Astyanax mexicanus: one gene and its partner. The protein of the gene in region 2 purifies or fractionates together with the protein of the main gene of each other region. This does not show direct contact. Links are inferred from orthologs where the notes say so. Each region holds a gene or a part of one and is shown on either strand. Other genes may lie near its edges.

What was found.
Region 1: the proteins of exoc6b (region 2) and exoc3 purify together in Homo sapiens (affinity purification with mass spectrometry; 3 studies listed by BioGRID and IntAct, counting the BioPlex papers as one, with this or other methods). This does not show direct contact. The link is inferred for Astyanax mexicanus from reciprocal best matches to the Homo sapiens genes EXOC6B and EXOC3.

Annotation. Positions count from the first base shown.
Region 1 is NC_064411.1:51,607,159-51,619,120, reverse strand, and holds the start of exoc3 (exocyst complex component 3), read right to left. Parts: upstream 4,936-11,962; 5' UTR 4,784-4,935; intron 3,163-4,783; 5' UTR 3,145-3,162; coding exon 3,001-3,144; intron 2,865-3,000; coding exon 2,645-2,864; intron 882-2,644; coding exon 200-881; intron 1-199. Other genes in the region: ahrrb (aryl-hydrocarbon receptor repressor b), read right to left, coding at 8,230-9,223, 10,358-10,542, 11,532-11,665. UniProt on the Homo sapiens protein: Component of the exocyst complex involved in the docking of exocytic vesicles with fusion sites on the plasma membrane.
Region 2 is NC_064415.1:24,545,589-24,557,273, forward strand, and holds the start of exoc6b (exocyst complex component 6B), read left to right. Parts: upstream 1-6,436; 5' UTR 6,437-6,576; coding exon 6,577-6,665; intron 6,666-11,685. Other genes in the region: badb (BCL2 associated agonist of cell death b), read right to left, coding at 1-151, 1,297-1,440, 4,358-4,430. UniProt on the Homo sapiens protein: Component of the exocyst complex involved in the docking of exocytic vesicles with fusion sites on the plasma membrane.

The DNA of each region.
Region 1 (11,962 bases), on a different chromosome or scaffold from region 2:
TTTTAACATCAATGACTAATCAACTCTACTAATCTGATTTATTGTTGCAAAAACCTGTTTTCTATCACACTACGCCTCATATGAGTGTTAAAATACCTCTGGTAAGTGCCGAGGAACAATTTTATTCATGAATTTACCAAACAAGAGGTGTTTTAATAATAAATTTATATGAGTGTCATTAATATGAATGTCAAAATACCTCTGGTAAGTGTTGAGGACCCAGGTTAGAAGTGACACGATCTCATTAGCCTCCAGATCCTCTGCAGCGAGCTCCTGAATCCGTGCCGACAGCGCCCGGTGGTAGAGGTCAAAGAAGAGCTGGAAGGTGTTGTAGTGTGGAGGGAAGCACTGCACCATCATGTTCTTCACCACGATCAGGTCGTCCAGAACGTACTTGCGCGTGAGCTCCAGCAGCCGCACCAGCCACATCTTATCCGAGTCCCGCGTCTCCGACTGGGTGCTCTCGATGCGGCCGCTGACCGTGCCCTCCAGAACCTGGTTCATGCGGCTCTTCCAGCATTTGGGCCGGCCGGGGGGAATGAATCCCGTCTGCTTCTTGCGGTCCAGCATGCGCCGGTCCACCTTCTCCTCGCGCTCGATGATGCGCACCACGGACACGAGCATGGTGGGGTCGCGGCGCACTGTGACCAGCGCCCGCTGCAGCACCATCCACAGCTGCTTGGCCAGCTCGTCGGAGAGGCCCTGCACCTGGCCGAAGTAGGCGCGGATCAGGTTCATGTCGTGGGTGTTCTTGCTGTCCATGCGGTACTGCTCGTACATCAGATCGTCGCGGGAACACTCCAGATCGATCAGTCTGCGGTGAGCCTGCAGGAGCTCGCCCTGCTCGATCAGATCATGGGTCTCACGCACGATTTCTGGAACTGTTGAAGAAGAGAGAGAGTGAAATTTAGTAGGGATTACGCCTGTCCCGATAGGATTTTTTTTTGTGGGTGATATATTGTCCCAGAAATTATTGCGATAAACCATATGTCACTGATATAATGATAATTGAATATCAACACAAAAAAAATCATAATAATTATACCCTTTTAAAGAAAACAAAATTTTATTCATCATAGTTTGAGAAATAAAGATTTTTCTTCACCTACTGCAGGCCACACTTTTTGTATGGAGTCTCAGTTATTGAAGCATGGGTCTGGTATTGCTGTCTAAAATACTCTTCAGTGTTATATATGTGAACAAACATATAAATAAACACAATAGACGATACCACGATATCAAATATTATTAAGTTCAAGTCCATTTATTGCGACAGGCCTAGTAGATATGCATCGAAATAGAGCTATTTTAATAATAAATTTACCTCAGCAGTACAATTTTAGTCCTGGATTTACCTAAGTATAGCTATTTTATTCATTCATTTTCCACAGCAGTGCAATTTTAGCCATGAATTAATCTAAGTAGAGATATTTAAAGCATAGATTTAGTCATGAATTTTACCCAAGTAAAACTATTTTAATCAAATTTTCCTCAGCAGTACAATTTTAGTCCTGGATTTACCAAAGTATAGCTATTTTAAATCATACACTTAACTAAACAGAGCTATTTTAATCATAATATTACATCAGCAGTATAATTTTAGTCATGAATTTACATAAGTACAGCTATTTTAAATCATATATTTACCTCAGCAGTACAATTTAAGTGATACATTTACCTACATGTGATCATTTAATCATATGCCTAACTAAGTAGAGCTATTTAAAGCATATATTTACCTCAGTCATACAATTTGAGTCATGAATTTACCCAAAAAGCACTATTTTACATTACATTACATTGCATTTGGCAGATGCTTTTGTCCAAAGCGACTGACAATAGTGAAGTACAAAAGTAATAGAAGTTAAAGGTAAAAACATCTTTAGATAGGACCTAAAGGAGGTCAAAGGGAAATAATGGGATAGAGGAGTGAAGGAGGGGAAGAAGGAAATGAGGTTAGAAGTAGTTAGTGTGTTAGAGGTGTTAGGAGAGTAAGTGCTCTTTGAAGAGCTCTGTCTTCAGGAGTTTATTAAAGATAGTGAGAGATTCTCCTGGTCTGGTAGTGGAAGGTAGTTAGTTAGAGGTGTTAGGAGAGTAAGTGCTCTTTGAAGAGCTCTGTCTTCAGGAGTTTCTTACAGATAGCTATTTAAATCAAATTTACCTCAGCGGTACAATTTCAGTCATGCATTTATCCAAGCAGAGCCATTTTAATCATAATTTTACCAGAGCAATACAATTTAACTTTTGAATTTACCTTACCTAAGTCAGAACTTTACGTATGTAGAGCTTTTAAAACATACATTTACCACAGCAGTGCAATTTCAGTCATGAATTTACCTAAGTAGAGCTATTTAATCATAAATTTAGCAGAGCAGTGCAATTTTAGTCATACATTTACTTAAGTCAGCATAGATATTCTAACCCAAAAATGCCTTTACCTTAGCAGTGCTGCTCAAGTGACATGTGAGCAAAATTTACACTGAGAAAGACAAACAGTTTTTTACTAATAACTAACAAATAAATGCTAAGGCTAAGTTACCTCAGCTAACGTTATCACTCTAGCCCCGTAGAGCTTAAATCTTTCAGCTGGAAAAAACAGTCAGTTTACAAAGATAGAAGAACACAAACAAACAACAACTCATACCTGAGAAGATGTTCTTGAGATTTTCCACTGCAGAGGCCAGCTGACTGTGCTGGACCACAGCATCCTTAACATCCTTCAGGTTCTCGATGGTGTTGATGCTCTGCCTCCAGTCCTTGCTGACGTCTGCTAACGAGTTCTGGATGTCCTTCACATCACACAGAGCGTTGTGCAGCTGAGTGAGGCCTGTTCGAACTCCGTCCAACTGGGACTGGATTGCAGCCTGTAGGACAAAGGGAAAGACACTGTTATACATTTACACACAACAACGACAATTATAAATATATTTAATAAAGGCTCGTAATGCAGTAAACACTCTCACTGCAGTTGATATATAACAAAGGCACTGATAAACTTACTTTAAGTCTGGCCTCTACAGATCCTTTCTTTCGTGCCTCTCTTCGTCTGTACTGCTCAACTTTATCCAGTTGATCTGATCGCTGGATCATCCCCGCCACCCTCTGCACCGCTGTGGCAACGGCCTCTCTATTCGTCTCCTCCATAATGGCAACCTGCACACACTGTAAAAATAAAAATAAAAAAATAAATAAAAACATGCTTCGTCAGTTATATTAAAACCAAATACTGTGCACATCGGCAAACCCTTTAAATTAACTTTGGTCAATTTTCTAATAATTTTTTAAGTAGATTCTTTTTACAGTAGATTTTTTTATATGTGAATAGTGCAGATAGCTGGGTTAATGAACAGATAACTCTTTTTCTGGCAACTTTATCGCTCTAGTCCGAATTCTATATATTCAGTCCCAGATCCACAGTACAGAAGACAGCACAAGCAAGAATGAGAGAGAGAGAGAGAGAGAGAGAGAGAGAGACAATGATAGCGAGAGGGAGAGCGAGAGAGAGAGAGAGGTGGGGAGACACAGTAGCCTAAACCTTAAATCCCAGCAGTAGAGCTATTTTAATCATACATTTACATCAGCAGTACAATGCAAGTCACAAATTTATCTAAGTAGATCTATTTTAATCATAAAACTACCTCAGCAGAGCTACTCAAGACTCATATAAGTGAAATTTACACAAAGAAAGAAGCCCTTTTGCTGGACAAATAAAAGCTAAGGCTAGGTTACCTCAGGTAACTTTACCATCCTAGGCCTATACAGGCTAATAATGCGAGCAAGTTGAGGAGACACAGCGGTCTAAACTTTAAACCCAGATTTTATCAGGCGATTATTTTAGAAAGGTGTCAGTTTGTTTCTAAAAGTTATACATGGGTGTCTAGTCTCTCTGTAAATTTTAAAGTACCAGTCAAAAGTTTGGACACACCTAAAATTCAGTATTTTTTCATTATTTTAACATTTGCTGCACGGTAGATAAATACTGTCATCCAAACTATAAAGAGAAAAACATATGGAATTATTTAGTAAAGAAAACATAAAACAAACAAACCAGAATATGTTTTATAATATTAAATATAGATTATTCAAAGTAGCACCTCTTGCTTTGATGACAGCTTTGCACATCTTGGCTGGATTTTCTTATTCAGCTTTATAAGGCAGTCTTTCATTTAACAGCTGTGCTGAACTCGTCAAAAGTTAATTACTTGAATTTCTTGCCCCTTAATGTTAGTTTAAGAGCATCAGTTGTGAAGAGGTAGAGTTGGCATGACATAAGATTATGATGAAACTGGCACTTATAAGGACCAGGAAAGGACAAGCCTCAGCCTCAGAAACCACAAGTTAACAGTCCCCCAGATAAGAGTAGAGTATTTTGGTTTGTTGAACACTTTTAAGTTAACGTTACTACATGATTTCTTATGTGTTCCTTCATAGTCTGGACAACTTCAGTATTCATTTACAATGTAGGAAAAAGACTGGTATGTTCCCATTCCTGAAAAACAATAAATGACTGTTTAACAGCGGGTTTTAACGTATTTTGAGCAGGTTTGAGGTGGACAGAGCTGCACCCACTAGCTAACAAGCTTAGCTAGCTAAACTGAACAGATATATACATCTATTTACATAAACATATAGCTTAGCTGCAGCTGCTAACGCTACATAAACACTAAAGCTAACAGGCTAAGGTAAGCTAACTCTTTAGCCTGGGCACAAACAGCTCCTGGCACCGGTTTCTGAGCGCGTTCTCCGCTTATTTAAGGTGAAATACGGTGTAACAAATGTTTACCCGGGCTCAGCTGGTGTTCCTAAAGGCTCCCGCTCAGTGTTTTCTGCATTAATATCATATTATTCTAATTATCTGGCGTTATTTTCCTCTTACTGCGGCGCTCAGTCTTCCTGGTCGCTGCGCCGCCCAACCCCGCATATGCCCATAGAGACAGGCACGGCTGCGCAGGATTTGCGCAGAAAGGAGCAGGGTCAGCCATAAGCCAGATCAGGACCAGGTGAAAAAATCAATTAATAAAAAAAGAAATTAATGAATTAAAATATATAATAAATATATATAAATAAATAATAAAAAAATATAAAATCATAATAACGTTCATAACGCAATTAATAATAATAATAATAATAATAATAATAATAATAATAATAATAACCACAATGATGATGATAATAATAATACTAATTCACAAAAATGACATTACAAATAATGTTAATAACCAAAATGTTAATGTTAATGACACTTGAACATATATATATATATATATATATATATATATATATATATATATATATATATATATATATATTAGTTTAGCTTATCATTACTTTTACTATTTTTTTTAAACATTAATAATAATCATATATTTGTTAATATTAATAATATTAACACTAAAAATAATGTTAATAACACTATTAACACTACTTCTACTACTACTACTATTAATAATAATAATAATAATAATAATAATAATAATAATAATAATAATAATAATGTATTACTATCCAGTTAGTAATGTTAGGAGTTGAATCTTAACATTAGTCAACAAGTAAACAGTCAGGTCTGGCAGTTGATAGTAAAGAACATTGAATAAACCTGCTTTTTTGGTTGCATTACATCTGTTAAGATTGATGATGGAAAAACAACAAATTTTGAACTTTTAAACTTAAAACCTAGTGATCATTAATTTTATTTAATGATGTATTAAATTAAAACTGTACTTTAAGTAAACAATTAGCTAATTTTAAAGGAAACACTAGTCATGACCTAAGGGTTAGAGAACGTTGCTGATTTGAGTGTGTGGGCGCATTGTCACTGATATTAAAAGTAAAATGGTTAGATGTAGAGTTTGAATCCTGCAGTACAGTAGTGATAAAGTGTGATTAATACTGCTGCAATTATTCCCGTCAATAACTGTAGAAATAAATATATAATAAACACATTTTTCACAATTTTCCTGCATGCCTAAAATAAGACAAGACTCTTTTCTAGGGACAATGCAATATTTTACTTACATTTCAAAAATACAAACACAAAAATACGACTTTCAGTGATTGCTGCTCAGCAGCTAAATCGTGTATAAAAGAGGTTGTGAACCATATTCAAAATATACTGCAAAATGAGTTTGTTGAAATCATTAAAGAAAATACATACCATAGAATCCATTACTTATAATATTCACTATTCATTTAGACTACAAAAATGACAGAACTGACAGAAGGGAATTAACAGTCTGTAAACAGGTAAACAACACAGATAGACCACAGATAAATGTGCCTGTAAACTCAGCAATATTTGTTATGAAAAGGATATAGCTGCAAAATTATAACGGTTTATGTTTTATGTTGATATATATATTTTTTTATTGTTAATCTGACAAGTGTAAACACACAGCATATGTTTCAGACAGCAACTTAAACCTCTGCAAGCTATTCATTCCAAAACACAGTGCATAATTAACAACTTATTATAACAAATAATCAACATATATTCTAAAACACAAAACAGCCCCCGCCCCATTAAATTCCCTTTATTTATACATTGTGCATGATTAAAAATCATAAAACATGATACATATCACCTGTATTAAAGCCAGTTGGGATGAAGACCAACATGTAATCTTTATTTAAAGAAAACAGTACATTTATGTAATTTTTGTGGCATTTAAGAGTTATTTGCATTACATACAAATAAAAAAAAACATTGAATATACATATATTTAAAATAAATTTCCACATCATTGTAAAAGTGCTAAAATATAGAACTTCCCCTCAAAACCAGTGCTACTATGAGACCTGCATCTGCAAAGGGAGGGGTAAACCTGAGCTTCAAAAGGAATACTTCAGCATTTTTTTAACCTAATCTCTCTCTGCTGCGTCTGTAGCACAGATTCAACTGAATAGACAACTATTACATTGTGATTCCTGCTACTATGTAAAAAAGAGACTCAAAACAGACTTTCTCTTTTCTGATCTCTCTTTTTTCTGAGGTCTTAATAGTCTCATCTTGACTTGACCAAAGTTCCCCTGAACTGTAATTTCTCATTTTCTATTTTCTAGAGAATGAGACAGAAAGGACAGAAAAGAAGTTTATTGTACCGTATTTTTTGCACTATAAGGCACACTTACAATTCTTTAAAATCGTCAGTGTGTCTTATAATCCGGTGCGCCTTATGTATGAATTTTACCAGTCAGGCTGTAAGGAGCAGTAAAGCCACTCTGCTGAAATGCAGCAATATACAGGAGTTTCAGTTTATTTCTTCAGCAGTATTAGCATTAGCAGCAAACTGCGCTAGCTCTTTTGCCGTTCAGAGGTGAGTATTATCGGCCTGTAGCCTGCTGCTAACCCCGGTAAGCTTTATAATCCGGTGCTCCTTGTTTTTGGAAATAGACCAGAAAATAGACATTTATTAATAGTGTGCCCCCCAATATGGTGTGCTTTTTAGTGCGGTAATAATACAGTAAGTGTCTGATGGATGTTACATAGTCTGATGTTGCAAGTAGCAGGCTGGCAGCTGACCATATCTACGCCTGATGTTTTAAGTAAAAAATCAAGGTCAACCTCTAAGGCAAAACTGGTCTGATGTGAATCTATTGTATTAGGTGCAAATTGATCCAATCTGAATTTGATGACAAAAGCAGCAATTGGCCCAATCTGAGTCTGACATGAGCATAATGTTCTACAATAAAATTAAGAAAATTGTGTCCCAACTCCCAATTTACAACTCAAATAGAAAATTGGCCCAATCTGGTTCTATGCTCCTATAAAAATGTACATAGATGGAAGTAAAATACAGCCTAATCTGAGCCTGATATTGAGAGTGAAAATTGTCCCGAAAATGAACCCAAGGAGGACACGATATTGTTAGTTTAAAAGCAGCCTGACAAACCATATGTTAAAATCATTATATCAAAATCACTTGTTAAAATCATTATATCAAAAATTGCCTCAAATAAATTTCATAAGTAAAAAATCTTAAGTTTGAGCCTGATGAAATGAAATTGTCCAAATCAGGCCAATACAAATTGCAAACCAGAAAAACCCAGCAAGTCCCTGTTCCAAAGTGATGCACTGACAAAATGACCACCAAGACACCAAGTCATTAGTGCGATTTAGACTCTTTACATAGAGATTAGGTTAAAAAACAGTGGAGTATTCCTTTAATCCATCACTAACTACAAAGACATAAGACATATCTGACCGTAAAGTACCACAGATCAGTTCAGACATCATTGCATAAACAAATAGGGATTGGCTTTGTGCGTGATTGCGTTCATTTGTGTACAGTTCGCCACATTTCTGTCTGCATGTGCCTGGCTGGGATCGTGGCTGCTTTCAGGCCAGGGTGGAGAGTCCATGGGCTCCCGTTTGATGGAGTGGAGAAGACTGTGGCTCCTGAACTCATAGCTCAGCTTGTAGTCTGGCTGGGCGAAGACTTTGGGCTCAGTAGATCCATTTAGGTAGGCGTGTCCATCGAGGCAGTGTGCTTGGTTGCCTAGAGGGTCAGAATGGGCGCCATCTTTGTTGAGGGCACATTTTAAAGGCTTGCTGGGACCTGCATAGAGATACCGTTGGTGGCCGTTAAGCGTTGGGCTGATACCAGCCAATTTGCCACCGCTTTGGTTGCATGGGCTACAGTGGTTGTAGTAGTTTCCTTCGTTTTTTACCAGATGGCTATCGTTGAAGGTCATGCCATAGCGCCAAACCCCGTTGTGGGGCATGGTGGTGTACCTACTGCAGCCGTTCTCTGAATCTGAGTCCTGCTCTGTTTTAATGGCGGTCTCTGGCAGCAGGAGACCACCGTAACAGTCATTATGTGCCATGTACCTGCCCTCAGTCTTGCCATTGCCACAGTACCCGTCCCTTTCGCTGTGTCCGTAAGGTTTGGCCTGTGATCCCATTGGTGTGAGGCCTGGAGAAGTGCGGAATTTGCCAGATTGTGCGTGTTTGCTTAACTTGCTAGAAAAATAACCAGTAGGACCTATTCGAGTATCCCATGGACTTTCTGTAGCATGTACTCTGGGGACCCCCACGGAAGACAGGCAGAAGTCGAGGGGCTCGTCCTGGCTGTAGTAGCTTTCGGTCCTGTAGGGGACGCCTTCTTTGGCAAGGGCAGCCCATGGACTGCTGTGGCAGGGGTCTCTGGAGGACGTGGTGGTCCAGTTGAGCAACAGCATGTCCCCAGGGTCAGTGGAGCTACGAGACATACGGTACTTCTTCTCGCTATGAACAAAAAAAAAAAAGAAAGTGAAAATGTAGAAAAATCAGCTATAACTTTAAAAACCACTAATGACTAGTGAATATCTCATTTCAATTGCATCTGATCTGATCCCATCATGTGGGACCCACATGATAAAAAGATATGCCAAAAGTCATGCAAACTGATCATGAAGTGATAAACCAAGAAACGACTTAGGAACACCCACATCTGTACAAGTTGTGAGGTTTTATCTTGCGAGAGAAGTTCAACCTTTGCCTTAATTATGGAGGTTAATGCGAGGCCAGATAGTAGGTGCCAGCTGAACCAGAAATGTAACATTTTTTGAACAGTGGACAGCTTTATAATCCGATGTGCCTTATGTATGAATTCTACCAGTCAGATTGTAAGGCCCTGGAGTATCATCAGCATTACCCGCTAATCATGTTAAGCTCTAGCTTTTTAGCTGTTCAGAAATAAGAATTATTACTGGCTAGCACTGTTGGAGCAGCATTAGCGTTAACCGCTAACCGCACTAAGCACTAGTTAGCTCTTTTAGCTGTGTGTTTACCATGTTAAAACAAGCTATGTGGGAGAAACTGCTAGCTAATATCGGCCTGGCTTACCGGAGCCAGTGTAGCGCAGTCGGGTGGCATTAGGCACTAACCGCTAGCAGTTAGTCGCTACTGCTAATGCACCAGCCTTAGTGCTGGAGAAATTTGGGTATCTTAGCTTATTGTAAATAAACAAAAGCGTTTTACTTATACAAATAAACTGTTTTTAGGAGAGAAATTTTGTGTGGATTAACATCCAGCATTCATTTGACTTTAAAAGAAAGGTTTTTTTTTTTAAAGAATTATAGTTTTGTTTACTTAGCTTAGCTTTACTTAACTTAGTTAACTACACCCACCTAGTGGCGAGACCTGCTGAATTAAAAGTGAAACATGGTGACACCCCTGTTCCTTACTAGTGTTGCATAATGCACCTTATAATCCAGTGCGCCTTATGTATTAAAATAGACCAGAAAACAGACATTTATTGACAGTGTGCCTTATAATTAAGTGCATTCGGTACCTTATAGTGTAAAAAATCTGTTAAGTGAGCTGTGAAACCCTCCCAATTCAGTAAGAAGTAAACTGCAGTAAATCTGAGGAATGAACCTGCTGCTGGAGCCTTTCTGCTTGCTCTTTATCATCATGTTCTTCATCTTGAGCTCGGTGATAGATGGCACAACGAGTGGTACAGCCACGCAGAACAGAGCCAGCTGAGGGGGCAGCAGATTGCCCGACTCGCTCTTCCTCTTCTGACCATGCAGGAACTTCAGACTGCCCTGGAACTGCATGCTCTGAAAGAGATAAAACGAGTGTGTTTTATATCTTGTCTATGAGAAACATACCCGTCAAGTTTTGCATTTAAAAACAAGGGAAATTTCCTACTGCCCACTTCGAGTCGTACTATCAGCCAAACCCAGGTTCAGTATCATAGTATCATGATATAGTTTTATTAATTGATATTATTATATTAATTATATATATATATATATATATTAATATATAGTATTTTTATTTTAATGTCATTTTGTCGAATCAATGGTATTTTCTGTAGTCACTATGTATGATATTATACTTATTCACATAGTATGTATGAGTATGTATCATCATAGTATGGTGTTTTTTGGCAGGAATATCCTCTCTCTTCCTGCATCCATCCATTGGTCTCTGATTGGTTGTTCCAGGGCTGTTCCCGCAGGTCTCACAGGCTTGTTAGTGAAATTTCAGTTTGGAGAGGCACAGAAATGTTTTTTTAATTATTATAATATATTATAATTTACGGTAAAATACGGTAGTTTCCTTTTTAAAACGAGAGACTTGACAGGTATGGTGAGAAATAAGTAACTTTTAGTAAAGATCTGGTTCAAATCCCTGATTTTCAAGATAAAAAAATATTTTTCTCAACAGCAACTTTTATGGAGATGCGGATTTCATTTTCCAGCAGGATTTGGCACACTGCCCACACTGCCAAAAGTTTCAATGGTTCTTATATAATATTCTAATTTTCTGAGACACTCTTTTTTTAATTTTCATTGGCTGTAAACCATAATCATCAACAATAAAGAAATAAACACTTAAAATAGATCACTCTGTGTTTAATACATCTATATGATATACTGGTTAAAAATTTTAAACTGAATTACTGAAATAAAGTAACTTTTCAATGATAATCAAATAGTTTGAGATGCGCCTGTACTTACTGATTTACTGGTTATGCAGTTTGAAGTAGACTTTACCGTTAATGTGTGCTACTCTACAGTTTGTGGATTTTAGAGGAACATACCAGGAAGCCGGATGTGCTATCCAGCAGGCAGCGAACTCGAGCGATGAAGCAGCGAGTGAGGAACGGAGCGAGCTCTGGAGGAATGCCATCCGGCTCCTGAGCACTGAACAGACTACCCACAGTGAAATCCTCACCTACACCATCACACACACAAATACAGCGTTCATTAGAAACGGCATCCACAAACAATTAGACATTAGATATATAAATATACATCCAGTCCACTGGAACTAGGTTATGAGCTAACTGTACCCAACCCTGATACAACCTCTCTGTTAGGAGTAACTGCCCGTATTCTGAGCTTCATAACTAGCACAGTGTCCAGTGACCTGTTGTTATTTACCAACAAGTAATGCAGCTCAGACAAAACAGTTAGCATCACAGCTAACCTGCTTACACTCTGCAGAGGCCCGCTGCTGTGTCTGTTAGCA
Region 2 (11,685 bases):
CCATATTTCTTGGCTGCCCACAGAGAAGGGGGAGCTGAGCGGCTGCGGCGTCGGAATGAATCTCCATCTCCAGCTCCATCTTCGTGTCTCCCAGCACCAGACTCCTGCAGAGCCTCTTCATTCATAGAAAAATTCCTTTGCCTGGGCTCTACTACGACCAATAACAAAAAAGAACACATACTCTCACATAATGTATATATATAATTTAATTATCACTCACTAAAAGCCCACTGTAATACGAATTGCAAAAGTTTAAGATCGCTTTTCTGTTTGTGGAGAGAAACCTAACTTTTTTCTTTAACTTTAGCATTAAAAAAATGTCTTAAACCTGTAAATACCAAACACACACTAGCAGTTTACACTTTACATAATTAATGATTTTCAAACTTATAAGGAAATGTCTCAAATTTTATAAGTTATACCCAAACAAATATTGCAGACAATGCCTATATTTCTATACGTTTGCATTATAAAAAGTAAATATAAAAGCATTACAAAATATTATTTAGGATTAAGAAAAGAATAATTTATCATTTATTAAACATGAATGTAAAAGCATTAATCGTATTAATGTAAAATGTAAAAATTACTTATTATGTGAGGACATGAGGTTTTCTTTCAGTAATCATCAAAACCCAAATGCCTTAAAACATCAACTGAAGGCCCACCTTGTTCAGGGCCACTTGATAATGCGCTATAAAAATTATATTTTAACATCTTTTATAATATTTATTGCGCTCAGGTTTATTCTTCTCTATATTCAAATTCCAGGAACTATGCATTGTTAGCAATAGGGTTATTGTGTGGCTCATTTCCAGTAGTGTTAGAGCTCACAGGTATCTTGAATTTGGCATCTGTTGATACTAGCTTTGGATAGTCTAGATAAGAGCATCTGCCAAATGTCATAAATATAAATGTAATCAATAACACATTATGCTCAAAAGAATAACAAATATTGGATGCTAGTGTAAAGCAAGTGTATAAGTAATTTCCTTTTATGCAATGTGAAATAGATATAAAGTATACCAATTTTGCAGTTTAAAAGTCTTTCAATAAGAAAAAGTTTCATAAGTGAGCGAAGGTCATAAATTAAGCAATAGAGTGTTTGTACAGGAATTGTCTAACACAATATCTTACCTGTCTACACAGGTGAATCACTGCTTACAAAAACAGATCATTTGTTTTTCAGTAGGGACTGTGGTGCTTTGTGTGTGCAGCCTGGATACGGAGTAGCTGACATAATGAGCGAATGCTCCTGTACACTTCCCACAGGCCCTAACCTAGACACTGACTCACCTCTGAGTTTCTCCGGAACAGTGATGTGCTGCCCAGACCGCGATGGCTCAGCTGTCTTACTGACCTCTGGCTGGTCTGAGTCTCCTAGCTCTTCAGATGCATCTGACTCATCAGATATTGTGAACATGTGATCCATTGTGAAATCTATAAGAAAAACAAAACAGAATTTCAACACTAGAAACCACAATCATAAATAATCCTGCCTGAAACTTCAAGGTTTTTCCTGTTGGTCTGCATCCATATTTATGCCCTAAAATGCCCTTGTTGTGAGGCTCAGGTAGTAACTCTACAAAAGCATAGCACTAGATATACAAAACTAAATATACATACACTAAATATACACACAATATACAGAAGCAACAGCATCCCATGTTTGGAACTTTCAAGCATAGTCCTTTATCAGAGGTCACAGGACGCTGATAACAAGATGCTATTGGTGGCCTATTTTTTAGCCCAGCACTGACACATGAAGTGTTTAGAAATTCCAGCAGCACTGCTGCGTCTGATCAACTCGTACCAGTGCAACACACACTAACTCCACTATCAGTCAGTGTCAGTATTAAGGGTGGTAATCACAGGGTATCTTGCGATATGATACCACGATACTGTGATTTAGCGAAAATCAAAATGTTGCAAGACAATTTTCTGTACAATACTTAACAGCATCTGTGCTCCTGAAGAGGATAAATACTCCTAAATAAGCAAATACCAGGAATTATGGATTTATTGGTGTCACAGAATTTAACAAACAATATTCTTCACCACAGGTTTAGCCTATTGATTTGATTATAGTAATGTTTTTATGGAGCCTTTATTGTAATATCAACTAGTGACAAGTGACAAGCTATGTAAAATAAGTTATCATCACCTCCTCTCCACGACAAAGGAAATCTGTGTATGACACTGTGTATGAATGTGTGTTCTCTATTCATTTGTTTATTCTGTAAATTGTGCATCAAATACTGTGTTAAACTGAGTGAGGGAAATTGAGGTTTTTTACTCCTCCTCGCACTGTGTAAGCACGTGTGAATTCTTATGATTTATAAATCACTCATAAATAATGGTGATATGAGTGAAATCATCAGTGAGGGAGCATGCAATTAGCATGCTCACTGCAGGAATGTCCACCAGAGCTGTTGCCCATAAATTGAATATTTTTGACAGACTGTGTATGGCTTTGTGTGGGTTAATGGTTTGTTGATGTCAATGTTGTGAATCGAGTGGCCCATGGTGGTGGTGGTGTTATGGTATGGGCAGGCCAGGGCGTACGTAAAGGACAATGAACACAGCTGCATAACCTCATGTTGCAGCATGATAATGCACGGCCTCATGTTGCAAGGATCTGTACCCAGTTCCTGGAAGCATGTTCCTGAAAAACATCCCAGTTATTGCGTGACCAGCATACTCACCAGACATGTCACCCATTGAGCATGTCTGGGTTATGTTCTAGTTCCTACCAATATTCAGCAACTTTACACAGCCACTGAAGAGAAGTGGACAAACGTTCCTCAGGACACAACCTGATCAACTCTATACAAAGGTGATGTGTTGTACTGCGAGAAGCAAATTGTGAAGCACACCGGGTACTGACTGGTTTTTTGAATCCCCCAGATTCACATATTACTGTAAAACTGCACATTTTAGAGTGGTCTTTTATTGTGGCTAGCTCAAGGTACACCTATGTAATAATCAATGTCTCTAATCAGCATCTTGATATGCCACACCTGTGACTGGTGAATGGTTTACCTCAGCAAAGAAGAAGTGCTCACTAGTACAGATTTAGACCCGAATGTGAACAAAATTTGACAGAAAAAAGGCGAACATAGGAATAACGTAGATCTTTGAGTTCAGCTTAAATAAAATGGGAGCAAAACCAAAAGTGTATTTATAGTTTTGTTCAGTGTGTGTGTGTGTAGCTCTGGAAAAAAATAAAGAGACCACTTAAAAATTATACATTTCTTTGATTTTACCAAATTAATGGATGATCACAGCTATCAAACCAATCTAAACTGCTTGACGTTTTGCACCAGGAGTGGAATTAAGTTATCCAAAAGCAGTGTGTAAGACTGGTGGAGGAAAAAATGCCAAGAGGCATGAAAAAAAGAGGATTAAAAAACAGGGTTATTCCAGCAAATATTGATTTCTAAACTATTAACGTTATGAATATGAACTTGTTTTCTGGGCATTTTTCATTTTCTGCAAATAAATGCTCTAAATGACAAAATTTTTATTTGACATTTGGGAGAAATATTGTCCGTAGTTTATAGAATAAAACAATAATGTTCATTTTACTCAAACATATATCTATAAACAGCAAAATTATAGAAACTGATTCAGAAACGGAAATGGTCTCTTAATTGTATCCAGAGCTGTATGTATGCATGTATGTATACACACACGTTTATTCTATTAAATGGCTTCGGCTTCTTTAAGTTGTATCGTTACCCACTACTGACACAATATATACACACACTAAGCTTGTCTAGTCCCAGCATATAATATGCCAATAGAATAGGACTTTCTAGGGCACATAAACAAGCCTATTGTCACTATGCAGAATGCAAGTAGAAAATTATCGAGTATCGTTAGCCAGCCAGTTAACTATAGTTAGGTTAGCTACTCTAGCTAACTACACTGTTGTTGTTGATGCTTATCTGCGGTTAGCCACTTCCGCTTAGCTGACACGCTAATTACCTTAGTTATCGTTAGCTATGTTTAGCTAGGCGTTGAAAGAAACCATAGTTGGCTAGCTTAGCTTAGCTACATCACACTCAAAACAAGTCCATTAAACTAACTTAATAGCTAAGCTGAGGTTAGTTCTACAGTAGCTAACTGAGTAAACTAAGGCTAACTTTCTCAATAGAGCTGCTGGTTTGCTAGCACTAACTATTTAGCTAGTTAGCTAACCTAGCCCATTATAAAGGTCAGTCAGGCTGACTGCTAGCTCTCTCGCTTAGCTAAGTAACTTCAGGTTGTATATCTTACTAACTTGAGTTATAAAGGTTGTAAGACTAAACGGACTCCTCAAGCGTTTATATGAGTCAGACACTCTGTCCCTTACCGAGTTTGGACGGCTGGCTGACAGCAGTGGAGTCGCAGGTCCCCGCCGCCGCCGCTCTCGCCGCTGTGGACATTCAGTCCAGCCGCTGCTGCTGTGTTTGTGTTCCTGAGAGTTTCACTCCACCACTCACACTCTTCTCCGACCAATCAGCGCTTTACTTTACATTTACAGTACATTTCATTTAACGCACGCTTTTACTCAAAGAGACTTACAAATGCTGAAGTACATAAGCAATAGAGGACATAAATGTCCAGGGAAACACATTGCAGGGCCTTTACTGCATTTAAATCATGTGGAAAATATATAAGATTGGAACATGTACATATATAATACATGGAATTTACAGAAGACAATGGGATTCAAATAATTAGGGAAAATATACCATTTACAAAAATGCATTTAATAAAATACAGTACCGTTCACCTTAAATTCCGCGTTTTTTCATTATTTTATACTTTTCTGCAATGTAGATCAATACTAAAGTCATCCAGACTATAAAGAAACATTTTAAAAACTTACCTCTGTTGCACAAGATAAGTTACTAGCCTTAAAAACCGCAAGTAATAACAAACACAAGACAAATCTGATCTTTATGGTATTTCACCGACTCAACACACTGCACTAGATTATCATGCTGCTCCTTTGATTATGACTTTTATACAACGTAATTTGTACAAAACTGTCCTCTGTTGAGTGCCACACCGATGACCCATGCACGTTATATTTTGTAATTAAATCACACATAGTTGTTAATATGGATAGCATGTGTGATAATACAAATACAGTCATTTATATCTTGTATAAAATAGTTTTTTTAATACATATTTTTATTAACAATATGTTGTCCAGTCCTATCCCCATTCAGATTCCTCCAGTAAAGTAAAGCATGTTGCTGCAGCATGAGAAATACTAGAAAGTTTAAACTAAAATCCATGGCTGCATATTTTATAAAAATAAAAAAACTGCAAAAAATACTTGGAGAATAATAAATGTTACATTTAGTCATATGAATTAATGTAACAATAAAATACATACCGGTACATACTGTTCAAACACTAGATGTCAGTAAAGCTCACAGAGCATGGCCAGTTACAGCTTTATCTTTCTCAATGAGATCCAGCGAATTCCCAGCATCCCTTATATGGTAGAGGTAAAAGAAGAGAAATAAAATGCCCTTTTATCAAGGTATGTACTGAAAGTCATTTTACTGTATTGCGTGTGATTTGTTTAAACAGTGAAAAAAGATATTTACAATATGTTGTCCAGTCCTATCTTCATTCAGATTCCTCCAGTGAAGTGCAGAATGTGGCTGCAGCATGAGAAATGCTAAAAAGTTAAACCTAAAACCCATGGCTGCATATTTTATACAAAAAACACTGCAAATTACTTGGAGAATAATAAATGTTACATTTAGTCAGATTAATTAATGTAACTATAAAATACATACCGGTACATTGCTAATTCACCTTGGAGCTGTTCAAGCACTAGATGTCAGTAAAGCTCACAGAGCATGGCCAGTTACAGCTTTATCTTTCTCAATGAGATTTACTCCAGTAAATTCCTCTACAGCATACCCCATATGTTTAAAGTAAAAGTACTTTAATCAAATAAGTTACTTTTCTTTATCGTGTGTGAAATGTTTAAACATTGAAAAAAGCAAAACTAACCCATAGAATTAAACTCAAATGTAAAATTAAATTCAATTTCTGCTAATGTATTTATTTTTTACTAAAGTTATGATTGTAGTGTGTTTCATTTAAACATATTACAAAATGTGCGAACATTAACCGTAATATAAAATAAAAATGTGTTTGAAATATTTAAATTTGAAAATAAAGCTTTTTTTTTTTTTAAACTAGATAACTTAGCTAATGGCTTTGGCTGCGTCCAAATCCACACACTGCACTATTCCTGCTGTGGGAAAGTCTATATTTACACACTAGTCAGAATGGAAGTATGTGGTTTAGGACGCGGCCGCATACTAGTTAACTAGCTATCATACTTAATAGGGTATGAAAAAAAAACATCTCCATTATTTTTAGTGCATGTAATAGAGTATAAATATTAATACAGCTGTGTCTGTTTGTGTATCTACTACAGAGTTCTCCTAAATTCGCCCAACTTAATACCGGAAGTAGTAGGTGTTTTTTTTCCTGCGGGGCTGTGTGTGTGTGTGTGTGTGTTGGTTCAGGTGACGCAGCTGAGCGCCGTTAGTGAAGATGGCGAGCGCAGAGATCGCGGCGGAGCACGAGAGGATCCAGCGGGAGATCGAGAGCACAGACACCAACTGTATCGGTCCAACACTCCGGTAAGCTGTGGCTGAACGGGCGGGATGTTGTGTGGGTCGCTGGTGGATTTACCGGCCGGAGGGAAGTCCTTGAAGAGAGCGCTGTCTCTCTCACTCTGTCTCTCTTCCTCTTCTCTCTGTAACTCTTTGGAGAGACTTCCAAACAATCTTCCCCCAACTTGTCATCCTGCTAGCGTGCTAAGTAGCTCTCCTCTCTCAGTGTTAGCAGTGCTTCAGCCAGAGCCCCCCTGCACACAGACACACACCCTGCCTTTAGTATTCACCTCACACGCCTTTACAACTTAGACCCTTACTACCTAACACACTATTAGTACACTGAGATTTGGACTGACCGTTGAGCCAGAAAGATATCTAACTACAGCACTTTGAAGTTCGGTGTTGGTAGGAGTGGTAGCTTAGGTTAAAGGGTCTAGTTTCAAAATGTTTATGTTAAGCTAGCTAAGTTAACTAACTTGGCCAATAATGCCAGCTTATTTGGGGAGCACGTATTGTTAAAGCAGTGTGACTTTCTGTAGAAGTTCTGCAGCTCATTAGGTTTATGTTATGATTTGGGAACTGAACCGAGTCCATTCACTGTTTAGTGATTCATTTCTATAGTTTAGCTAGCTAGCTAACTACACTATCGCTAGCTAACATTTACTGTTCATTGATTAATTCTTACATAGTTACCTAACCCAGCTATCGTAGGTTATCCTTTCCTATTAGGTTAGCTGGCTAGTTAGTTACTTTTATCTGTTATAGACAGTGAGTGCTTGTTTCCTACTGAACCATTCAGTGATTCATTCTTACATAGGTTGGTTCCCTAGCCTACGTTATCCTTTCCTTTAGTAGTAAGTAACTTAGTTAACCCAACTGTCTCTGTTATAAACACTGAATGTATGTTTTTGATGTTTTTAGACAAATATTACAGATTGTTTTAATACTACTTTAATGTTAGGTAGCTACGTCATGTAGCTAACTAGCTACATGAAGTAAATTTATTTTGTTGTATTAAATTCTAGTATAAAATCACTGTCCAGCACCATAGAAATATTATATTTTTCTGTAGCAAGAATTTATATTAAGTTTTTCTTTCTAGCTACTCGTGTGGCTAATATCTGTCAATATTTATTCATTCTATGCCAAATAAACGTTTAAATGGGCATTTGCTTAGGTGAATATTTAGTTTGTTTCGACAAAATATTCTTTTTTTTGTCAATTTAGGATAATATGCAAATATGCTAGCTAACCTATGTAACATAACTGCAAAAGGTAATTTGTAACTATAGATACTTATTAGCTACTCATGTGGCTCATAGCTGTCAATATTTATTGATTGTAAGGCAAAACATGACCATAAATGACCATTTGCCTTTTTGACAACCAGCAAAAAGCATTTAGTTCTTCACTTCACATCTGTCATTTTTAGAGAATATTGCAGAAGCTTAAAAATAATGTTTCTGTCTTTTTTATGTTATTTCTTACAGGAGTAATGAAAAAACATTTTTTCATGTATTAGATTTATGGAAGAATATCAGTACACATTAACTTGATGAATGCAAACTATCCTCTGTGTATAATAGCTACTATGATTTTTTTAAACATGGTATCGCCTGCCACTAGATTCACCCTAGTATTGTATAGCTAACATACAATCCAGGGCTATATAAGGGTAATTTTTCCTTGATATAAAGCACAGTATATCTTGATTAGACATTATATGTTGCTATATGTATCTTTAGCCTATATATCCTTTACATAGCAGCTGTTTGGCATAATGCGTATTTAGCTTTGGTTGCCCTGCAACTGATGGTTATTTAATGTGTGTGTAAGAGTGAAGGGTACAAACAATGGCATAGTGGAATATTCATACACTGGCGAGAAGTTGTGGCTAATATTAGTTAAAGGGAGTGTGCTGAGAGAGTTGCTTGCTTGTGTGATAGTGTGTATGTGTGTCTGTGTGTGGTATACGCTGATAACAGCCTCATGCTCTGACTCATGTAGAGTGACTGACATGCAGTCGGATGATAGTCATGGTCTAAATTCTGTCTCTGTGGTAACTGTTTGTAACAGAGGTAATTAATGTGGTAATTTGTTTGCCCTTTAGAGCTGGGTAATTTAAATCTCATTTTATTCTGAACTTATTTTATTCTAGATTCTAAAATCATATAGTAATATGGATACTACTGGGATGTTTGTGTGAATTGTTTGGTTTCCAGAGGGATGACACTTAACCAAGTATAGTCTTCATAATTAAAGGAGCACAATAATGAATATACTAACCATTTATTTTAACAACATAATCCAGGGCAACTTGATCATTGAGTCCTGTACCATGTTGATATCTTATATCAGTGTTTCTTTCTCATATTACCCAACTGGACCTATGTGATAAAGCGTTTTTATTGTTATTGCTATTGTATTTTACAGAATAAGTGTAATTATATATTAATTTCCAGATAAGATGGCCCAGATCAGCATTTATACTTTAAATATATGGTTCATGGTCCTGTTTTGATGCCCAATTACTAAACTCTTTTGGAATGCTTATTTGTATTGAACACCACAACCCTTCCCCTACTAATTTCTGTAAATTCTCTCTTTTTCATGCTCTGTTTGACTGCCTTTCTTTTTTTCCTCTTTCTAAGCTTTTCACTGCTGTACAGACAAGGAGGGGTGTGTGTATGTTTTCTTTTTTGAGTTTGAGCCTGTGGCTGATAAAAGCTGAGCCAGCCGTGACTGAGCATGTGTCAGGTGTCAGCTGTTGAAGGCTGCTGAGATTAGCAGCTTTTGCTGCTGTTCTCATTTACAGTTTCAGTCAGAGTGTGATGTTGAGAGAGGTGCTCATAGTGCTGGGGCAGGGTTCATTTAGCAAAGATGAGGGATGTTAAATAAAGCAAGATTTCTTACTTAATCATTAAAAAGAATTTTTACCAGATTTCTTCAGACGTCAATGATTTAACATGTCGTTGTATTAAAGTTGCACTCCATGAATCAAAGATTGCAGTAATCAAATTTAATCTGATTTTGATATCTGTCATGAAAAATTAAGATGATGATAAAGAGCCTTAAATTTGATTTTTTTATTCCAATACAGATTATTTAACTTTTTGTGTCAGATATTTTTTTGTCAGAGTTTTTTTTGCCTTATATGATGATTTCCATGTTCTCTATGTTGCAAAAAAGTAATGGGAAACTTGTGATATGACTATATCACTCAAACGATATATTGTGAAGTGCATGCAGGATGCATACCAAAGAAATGCGCATGGAAAAATAAATTGGCCTTTATACAGCAAAGTTTGTGGTGTTTGTAGTGATAGTTCCACTTGTTTTTAGCTGGACTTATCTGATATATCCTGTTATGCTAGTGATAATGAAACTGAAGAAAAAATAACTCTTACAAAAATCTGATTCAGTATTTTCCCCTAGTCATATACTCTTTAATACTAATTTACTCTCTTAAAAACAATGCATGAAATACTCTTAATTTCCTTTAAACTATACCATTACATGCTGCTTGTTATGTAGCTTGTTATCATAAACTATATGCAGGAGTTATGGTTATGTTTATTGCAGTTCTGTGTTAGCAGCAGTCAGGATGTTGTGTGTTTGTTTATGCTCAGTGTACAATGCAGTCAGTAATAGAGCGCTGTGTTTCACCTCATTTGATACTATGTTTGTCTTTTGAAGTCAGCCATTGTTTCCTGCTGATTTGTAAGGTCTCATGCTTTGTTTTTCTCCATCCTTTAACAAACACACGGCCTCTGGAGTCTCGGACATTAAATATACACGCCACACACGCCATTCCCATTTACACCCTAACACAATTACGCAGTAAGTGATAAGAGCTGTGTCTGAGTATGTGTGTTCGAGTTCATCCCGATTCTGTTGCTTGTGTTGAAGGCTGCAAAGGCTGGAGTTGGAGAAAGACAGTCCAGTTCATGCTCTGTTAGCGGTGCTGTGAGTCAGCTCTCCCAGTCTACTGTTTCTTCTCTTTTTAGACTTTCCAGTATGTTCACAGGAACTCACAGGAACTCGCAGAACTTCAGTTTTTTTTTCTTCTGTATCCCAGCCTGGAGAAGAACTGTTATGATGACTTCTAAATTTGCTCACTGCCCACTTTATTAAATCCACACCCTTGTTCACCTCAATGTCCCATATGGTCTAGCAGTTAGGATTCTGTTTTAGGATTCTGAGTTTTTACCCAGATGTTTTTTAGGGGCAATCATGGCTCAGGTTAGCGCATCTGGCCATCAATAACAAGGTTATGGGTTTAATACCTGGGTTCTGCAAGCTGTTACTGTTTGGCCATTGAGCAAGGCATTTATGGGTTTGATACCTGGGCTCAGGAAGCTGTCACTGTTTGGCCCTTATGGGTTTAATACCTGGGCTCAGAAAACTGCCACTGTTTGCCCCTTGAGCAATGTCCCTATGGGTTCAGTACCTGGGCTCAGCAAGCTGTTTGGCCACTATGTGTTCGATACCTGGGTTCAGGAACCTGTCACTGTTTTGTTTTTTGAAAAAGACACTAATGGGTTTGATATCTCACCTCAGAAAGCTGCCACTGTTTAACCCTTTTGGGTTCGAGACCTGGATTCAGCAACCTGTCACTGTTTTGTTTCTTTAACAAGACCCTTATGGGTTCAATACCTGGGATCAGCAAGCTGCCACTGTTTGACTTTATGGGTTCGATACCTGGGATCAAAAAGCTGCCACTGTTTGACTTTATGGGTTCGATACCTGGGTTCAGCAAGCTGCCACTGTTTGCTCTTATGGGTTTGAGACCTGGGCTTAGCAAGCTGTCACTGTTCGGCCCTTAAGGCTTCGATACCTGGGCTCAGCAAAAAGCCACTGTTTGACCCTTGAGCAAGGCTCTTAACCCTCACTGCTGCTTGGGTGCCACAGCAATGGCTTCGAACTGCTTTATGCATGTGTTTACTTATGTGTGTGTTCACTGCATTGATGTTCTTCCAGCACAAGTATGGTGACTATAGTTGTTTGTTTGTTGTGGTTTGTACATTTATTGTCCATTTCATTA